Arabidopsis thaliana: one gene and its partner. The protein of the gene in region 1 interacts with the protein of each later gene in a pairwise test. Each region holds a gene or a part of one and is shown on either strand. Other genes may lie near its edges.

Region 1 (4,102 bases):
TCCTCAAAAATTGGTCAATGATCATTTAAGTAGACACTAGAAGATTGTGAAACTAAATGTCATAGTTATCGTCTTTGCAGCACAAGACGATGCAAATGATGTATGGAACTATCTACAATGCGTTAGTGGAGGCCGGGCTTGAAGATGAATACTCCCCACAAGACTATTTGAATTTCTTCTGTCTTGGAAACCGAGAAATGGTGAACGGAAATAATGAATCGGGTACAGGAAGTGCAAGCAACGAGAACACTCCTCAGGTAACAAAACCAAACTGCTTGACTTGCTAATGCGGTTTCTATCGTCATTGATTGATGAGTTTTGATTGAAACTGTATTATAGGGATTATGTCGAAAGAGCAGAAGATTTATGATATATGTTCATTCAAAAGGGATGGTTGTTGATGATGAGTATGTGGTAATTGGATCTGCAAACATAAACCAAAGATCAATGGAGGGGACAAGAGATACAGAGATTGCAATGGGAGCTTACCAGCCTCAACATACATGGGCACGACGACAGTCAGGTCCTCGGGGTCAGGTAATAGCACACAAAGATAGTACACACATGGTTTCATAGTCCTAGTCGTATCAATAATACTTGGTACATAATCTGCAGATCTACGGATATAGAATGTCGCTTTGGGCAGAACACATGGCACTGCTAGATGATTGCTTTGTGGAGCCAGAGAGTCTAGGGTGTGTAAGGAAAGTGAGAACAGTGGCGGAGGAGAACTGGGAACAGTTTAGGAGTGAGGAAGTGTCGGAGATGAGAGGACATCTGATGAAATATCCGGTGGAAGTTGATCGGAAAGGCAAAGTCCGACCACTTCCAGGAAGTGAGGAGTTCCCTGATGTCGGAGGAAACGTTGTTGGATCCTTTCTAGCCATACAGGAGAATCTCACTATCTAATCATAAGCAGAGTCGCATTTATTAAGAAGACCTTATATGTGTAAACAAACAACAATTGATCAGACTTTGTAAATAAACAAAGTTTGATGTTTCTCCTCAAGTTTGAATAACAAGTAAAAAGAAGCTACTTAATCCTAATTCTATTTAGAATAAGAAATCATGTACATGAAAAAGCTTTGGCCTGGCTATAAAATCCGAAATCCGAAAACCGATCCGGAACCGAACTTGAACCGAATAGTTACAAAATCCGAATGGATAATGAATTCTCCTATCCGAATTACTCGAACCGAATCCGATCCGAACCGAAATCCGAGAGGATATCCGAAAACTGAAAAATATATATATCCAAAAATATTATTTATATTTAGTTGTAATTTTATAATAAATAACAAAATATCCTAAATAATAAAGAAATTGGAAATCTTTTAGTTACATTTGTTAATAGTATACATACTTTTGCAAAATTTAACCAAATTTTAGTAAAGATTAAACCAATTTTTATTTAAGTTGAACAATTTTTAGCTCTTTAAAAACCGGTCCGAATCCGACACTTATCCGAACAAAAACCAAACCAAAGATTAGTAAAATCCGAACGGATAATAAATTTTCTATCCAAATTATCCGAATCCGAAAATATCCGATCCGAATTCGATCCGAAAATTCATAAAATCCGTACGGATAATAAGTTCTCCTATCCTAATGATCCGAATCCGAATATATCCGATTCGAAATCCGAATGTCCAAGCCTAGCCTGGCTACTAAACTTTGTCTATATTTAACGGCAAAGATCTCTAGCAGTAGTAGTATCATTCAAAAAATGAGAAGACTGTTACAGAGACTAAAGAGAGTGTGTACCATGCGTATCAGATTCAAACTAATAATGTTAGCAACCCCTGAAGAAGATAAGACTATATGCTTATTGTAGCCTTTATTCTCTGTTGAATCCTAGCAATGAACATTATAGGCAGAGCAAAACGACTAATATGAAATGGAGAACACTAGACAAGACCAACCGATGATACTTAGTCTAAAGTCAATACCTTGTCCCTATCAAGCCCACCAAAACTCTTAGCAGACAACATTCGAACAACCTTAATTTGTTGTTGGGCTTTGTTTAATTAGATTGTTTGTTAAATATAAAAGAGAGTGAAGAATGTTCAGCGTTAAAGGAAAAAAAGTCTCGCCGCTCACTAACCCTAAAAAAAGTAACTCTCTCACTCACTCTTCTTCATCATACCGAAAAAAATCCAATGGCTTCTTTGGAAAATCCAGCAATCGATTCTTCAAGCGAATTTGAGAGTTCTTCTGAAGAGATCTCTTCTTCTAAAGAAAGCAAACCCAAAGAAGCTCCCGTCACTGTTCCGTCAACAAAAACCCTAAACTCTCCTTCCGCCGCCGTGGCAGTTTCTGATGACTCAGAGTCAGAGAAGCAGTCATTCGTCTTAACCAGGCGGAAGAAGAAAGAAGGTGCTGCTGAATCACCGGCAGTGAAGTCAGGGAAGAAAGAAGGTGCTGCTGAATCACCGGCAGTGAAGTCAGGGAATAACGAAGGTGCTACTGAATCACCGGCGGTGAAGTCAGGGAAGAAGCGAGCTAGCGAAGGAACCACGTCAAGGGACATGCATGTCAAAAGAATTAAGAAAGAGGGCGATAACAAAAAGGGGCATGCTCAGAGAGTATGGAGTGAAGAAGACGAGATCTCTCTCCTGCAAGCAATGATCGATTTCAAAGCTGAGACAGGTACAAGTCCTTGGGATCATAAGGATAGGTTTTTTGATATCGCCAAGAAATCTATAAGCTTTGATGTTAGTAAAGTCCAGTTCTTTGACAAGATTAGAAGCTTTAAGAGAAAGTATTTTGGTGACCGGAAGGTGAGAAGTGTTGAATCGGATCATGATAAGAAGTGTTTGGGTTTGGCTGTTTCTTTTTGGGGATCTGATGGTGTGAGCCTTGAAACTCCTGTGAAGAAGAAAGTGAAAGATGAATCTGTTCTTGTTAAGGCTAATAGCAAGGAGAAGAACGTGAAACCTTTGGTTAAAGAAGATGAGCAAGTCGTGATTCTTGGAGAAGATTCGGAGTGGTTTGAGGAGTCTTTTCTTGTTCCGGTTATCGCTAGTCTCGGTTTGGATGAGTATTCTGTGAAGAAGAAGTGGAGCAAGGTGTCCGTGGAGACTAAGAAGAGGATTCAAGAGAAGATGAAGCTTGTGGATGCTAAGAAATGTGAGTTGTTGTTGGCGAACATGGATGTTTTGAAGGAGGTGACTTCAGTGCTTACTCAAACCAACTAAGAAGAAGAAGAGGAAGCTATTGGATTGTATATGTTTATCCGTTTAATCTCGGGTTTAATGAAGATGTAATGCCTTATTTTGTTATCTATCTTAGGCTTCATCTTTCTATCTACTCTAATGAACTTTTAGGACTTTGGATTCTCGTGTGAGAATTAGCTTTGTCTAACAAGCCTTTTGGTCGATGGTTGTAATGAATTAGCTAAGTTGTCTAACTAGCCTTTTGGTCTATGGTTATAATGAACTTTTAAGACTTTGTAAATGTGCTTCTTATATGAATGTCTCTCTACTCGTAACCAGAGTTATTACAAAACAAAGAAACACACAACAGAATGTGGGAGATTGTTAGCTATCATACCAATTGAATTTTTACATGTTGTGGTTACTACTAACTACTGTCCCAATTTCATATCACTTGTTGAGCTCTTGCTCTGCTTACACTCTCCTTTAGCTCAGCAACTACATGACTCATCCTCGGTCTATTCTTAGAACTAGAAGATGCACAAGCCATTGCTACTTCAGTGATCTTCCATGCCGAACCAGCATCAAACCTCTCCCCTAGCTTTGGATCCACAATGCCTCTGATATCTCCTGTCGACAGCATTAAAGTCGACTCAGTTATGTGTATGTTCTCTGCTGTTGTTCTTGAACGTGCAATCACCGGTTGGCCTGTGACAACCTCTAAAAGAACAACCCCGAAGCTCTAAACATCACTTTTCTCGCTTAATTCTTGCGGTCAAATGGTACCTTCATTTTGTAAAACAATGTCTACAGCAGCAAAAGACCAGTGACCAAAACAAAGTAGCAAATAGACTGACCTGACAAGTAATCTCCTAAGGTTCCATTAGCCATAAACTCATAGATAAGCGCCATCTTCTTGCCTTCGTGGCAGTATCCGATAAGAGCGG
Region 2 (4,305 bases), on another chromosome or scaffold:
CTTGTTTCTTGGTAACAATTTCGATTTTCTTGCATGGAAAAATGTCAAGAAAAATAGATTTTAGATAAATCAACTTGAATATGTAAGGCCATTTTCATTTAAAATGGCTTGTTGAATGAAAATTTCATGGGAACCGTTACATTATTTGCATATTACAATTGTTTGTTACCGGTCTTGATTCATATTCATATATAGATTGAAGAATGGCGGACGGTGAAGACATTCAACCGCTTGTTTGTGACAATGGAACTGGAATGGTTAAGGTAAAGTTTCTCTCTAAGACTCTTATTGCTATGTCACATATATATAAGGCTATGCCATAAACGACTACTCAAAAATATATCCCGTGCTTAGGCCGGATTCGCGGGTGACGATGCACCAAGAGCGGTTTTTCCGAGCATTGTAGGCCGTCCTCGCCACACGGGTGTGATGGTAGGGATGGGACAAAAGGATGCTTATGTTGGAGACGAGGCTCAATCAAAACGTGGTATCTTGACTCTGAAGTACCCAATTGAGCATGGAATTGTTAATAATTGGGATGACATGGAGAAGATTTGGCATCACACTTTCTACAATGAGCTTCGTGTTGCCCCTGAAGAACATCCGGTTCTCTTGACCGAAGCTCCTCTCAATCCGAAAGCTAACCGTGAGAAGATGACTCAGATCATGTTTGAGACATTCAATACTCCTGCTATGTATGTTGCCATTCAAGCTGTTCTCTCACTCTATGCCAGTGGCCGTACAACTGGTCAGTAACACACTTATATTTGTGTTGATCCAATCTATAACCAGTTTTTTTTCATGCTTGATTTTAAATAATATGAACTATTTTAAGGACTATTTGGTTATGCTTTTATGGACAACCCTAATTGGTTCTTTTGCAAATTATTGATTAGGTATTGTTTTGGACTCTGGAGATGGTGTGAGCCACACGGTACCAATCTACGAGGGTTACGCTCTCCCACACGCAATCCTACGTCTTGACCTAGCAGGTCGTGACCTCACGGACCACCTCATGAAAATCCTCACAGAGCGTGGATACTCCTTCACCACAACTGCTGAACGTGAAATTGTTAGAGACATGAAAGAGAAGCTCTCTTACATTGCTCTAGACTTCGAGCAAGAGCTAGAGACTTCCAAAACAAGCTCGTCCGTTGAGAAAAGCTTCGAGCTTCCTGATGGACAAGTGATAACCATTGGAGCAGAGAGGTTCCGGTGTCCGGAAGTTCTGTTCCAGCCGTCAATGATCGGAATGGAAAATCCAGGAATCCATGAAACCACATATAACTCTATCATGAAATGTGATGTGGATATTAGGAAAGACTTGTATGGTAACATTGTGCTAAGTGGTGGAACCACAATGTTTGGAGGGATTGGTGATAGAATGAGCAAAGAGATTACGGCTTTGGCTCCAAGTAGTATGAAGATTAAGGTCGTGGCTCCACCGGAGAGGAAGTACAGTGTATGGATCGGTGGCTCTATATTGGCTTCACTCAGCACTTTCCAGCAGGTGAACACATTAATATACATTTTTATTATTATTTGATCATGTATAATATAACATTCATAAGTTTGTTTTGATATAAATATTGGTATGTGTTTGAAAACTTGACAGATGTGGATTGCGAAAGCAGAGTACGATGAATCTGGACCCTCAATAGTGCATAGGAAATGCTTCTAATCACAGTTCCTAAGATCACCAAACGAAGACGGAAGTAAAAGTAAAAGACAGAAGGTTAAAAACATTGAGATTACTACCAAATGCCACATTTTTCCATTATATTTTCTAATCTCTCTTTTATCCTTTTTTTTTTGAATAGCCTCTCTATGTTAATTTTTCAACTAAGCATACTTTTCTTTAAACAATTTCCACTCCCAATGTACTATATATAAGCGACTAATTTCAATTATTATATTTTCTATTTTAAACTTAATTTATTTGTTACTCAAAAGAGATTTTGTGATGGTTAAACAATTGTGACTAATATACTTCAAAGACATCCGTATCAAACACAAAACAAGCTCCATAATGTTGATCTAGTACAAACAATTGTGACATATAAATGCATATTGTCGAAACTCACTAAATCTTAGATTACTCGGTTAAATGGATGTGGTCTAATAAGTGTCAATAAACACAACACAAAATGTTAAACTGATGGATTAGTGATGAGAAGATGAGTTTAAATGTTTCATTTAGTAATAAAACGTGTTTATTATGTTTGTTGGTAAAGAAAAGAAGAAACGAATTGTTGATGGTTAACTAAATTTTAATTTCTTATTCGATCTCGGTTTAACCGAACCGAATCGTAAACCCAGAAACAGAAGCTGCGACGGAGAATCCATTTCTCGAGATCGTCGCCGTTAAAATCTGCGATCTCATTGCTCATTGGTGAAGACAAATCCCTAATTCGTATGTCAGATTCTGTGGCCGGCGATTTCCCTCCCGATCCACTTCTCGCCTCCGGAGCCTTCATCTCCTCCGCCGGTGACGGAACCCTAGACAGTAGTGCGAAACGACGACCGATTCAGGGAGGAATCGGAATTTCTGGTTCGGGAGAGAGCGTACGCATCGGGATGGCTAACGGCACTGATCAGGTGAATCATCAGACGGAATCGAAGTCGCGGAAGCGTGCGGCGCCTGGAGATAATTGGTTGCCTCCTGGTTGGAGAGTTGAAGATAAGATTCGAACTTCCGGTGCCACAGCTGGTTCGGTGGATAAGGTAAAGAATCTCAGCTTGACTCTGCTTTTCTCTATGAAGTTTTGAGCTGCGTTGTTGCTTGAAGACTACAAATTGAGGATTCTTTGATTGCTGTTGTTTTGTTCTCTTTGGTTTAAAAATCTTGCCTTTAAAGTAGTGACAAGTGTAATGATGTAGTAAAATGATGTGGTTGGTTCTGCTTAAGCATTAATGAGTTTGTTTAGATTATGTTAATGGTGTATTGGGACTTGAATCATACACTTTATCAGTGTGATTAGTGTTACTTTGATTTATCAGGTGGATTTAGATGGTTTGGTTTGGTATATATTGTGATTGAAGAGATGAAGTTTTGGTGTTGTTATACTCGATGCTAATATGGGTGTAGATATTGATGTGTAGACTTGTGACATTTTCTTATCTGGTTTTGCAGTACTATTACGAACCAAATACAGGACGTAAGTTTCGGTCCAGGACTGAGGTGCTGTACTACTTGGAACATGGAACTTCTAAAAGAGGCACCAAGAAAGCTGAGAATACATATTTCAATCCAGACGTGAGTTTACATGCTTAAAGATTAAACCTTTCACCCTGGTTTCAAACCTGTGATGTGTATTGAATTTTGCATTTGCAGCATTTTGAAGGCCAAGGAAGCAATAGAGTCACCAGAACCGCTACAGTGCCTCCACCTCCGCCACCGCCATTGGACTTTGATTTTAAGAATCCACCAGACAAGGTAAGCTGGTCTATGGCAAACGCAGGAGAAGAAGGTTGGATACCTAATATTGGGGACGTCAAGGTTCAAGACTCAGTGAGACGAGATTGGAGCACTGCGTTTACCTTTATCACAAGCCGAAACCCTAGTAAAGTGTCGGCTTGAAGACTATGATGACCTGGTGGCGATTTTTGGGTTGTTGCATCTATGGTAAGATACACAGATATGTTAGGGTTACTTAATTGGATAATTCTTGTTTAGTCTTCATTCATCAATCATCAAGTTATGTGTACTATAATTTTTGTAGCGGTTTTTGGAAGAATATGATAAGGGGATATGCATCTTTGTGTTTGCTTTTGGAACGTGATAACCATTCGACTTTTGACTGATGAAATTGAAGACACTGTCGTAGTAACAAAGCTATTCTTCTTAGACATTTTGATACTGAACTATTCTGTGTTCCAAAGTCTTTTACTTTGTGTTTAGGAAAAGATCTTGTTCTTTGTGAAACCAGTGTCGTAATTCAAGAACTAATGCTTGACATGTCTCACCTGCTCAGGTTATCTAAATCTAATGGATAAGAAGAAACATCAACAATACTGCACTGATACAAGACAAGAAGCGTCTGTAGTCCAACGGTTAGGATAATTGCCTTCCAAGCAATAGACCCGGGTTCGACTCCCGGCAGACGCAATTATATTTTTCCCAAACATAATTTTAGATTTTGTTAACCAAACAATTTGTGGGGTTCGAATGTAACTGGTTGTAGCACATTTAATATCTGCAATAAATTATCAAAAAGGCCATTGGAACTCTCCCAACCCATCGTCTAATTTAGTAATTTTTGGTCTTGTAACCTTCTAGGTGTACCAGAGGCTTCCTTATTAGTC

The links.
Region 2: the proteins of AT4G00238 (region 1) and MBD6 interact in a two-hybrid assay, tested with the Arabidopsis thaliana proteins (one large-scale study listed by BioGRID).

The regions. Positions count from the first base shown.
Region 1 is NC_003075.7:103,187-107,288, reverse strand, and holds AT4G00238 (DNA-binding storekeeper protein-related transcriptional regulator), read left to right. Parts: upstream 1-2,067; 5' UTR 2,068-2,159; coding exon 2,160-3,197; 3' UTR 3,198-3,466; downstream 3,467-4,102. Other genes in the region: PLDBETA2 (phospholipase D beta 2), read left to right, coding at 81-257, 340-537, 616-909. UniProt on the Arabidopsis thaliana protein: Transcription repressor that binds DNA in a sequence-specific manner, 5'-GCCT-3', to regulate the expression of PGR. Acts as a modulatory component for the glucose-triggered developmental leaf growth process.
Region 2 is NC_003076.8:23,949,906-23,954,210, forward strand, and holds MBD6 (methyl-CPG-binding domain 6), read left to right. Parts: upstream 1-2,226; 5' UTR 2,227-2,415; coding exon 2,416-2,724; intron 2,725-3,133; coding exon 3,134-3,256; intron 3,257-3,334; coding exon 3,335-3,580; 3' UTR 3,581-3,802; downstream 3,803-4,305. Other genes in the region: ACT4 (actin 4), read left to right, coding at 204-263, 355-748, 897-1,510, 1,616-1,681. UniProt on the Arabidopsis thaliana protein: Transcriptional regulator that binds CpG, CpNpN and CpNpG (N is A, T, or C) islands in promoters regardless the DNA methylation status. Plays probably a role in gene silencing. May associate with histone deacetylase proteins (HDAC).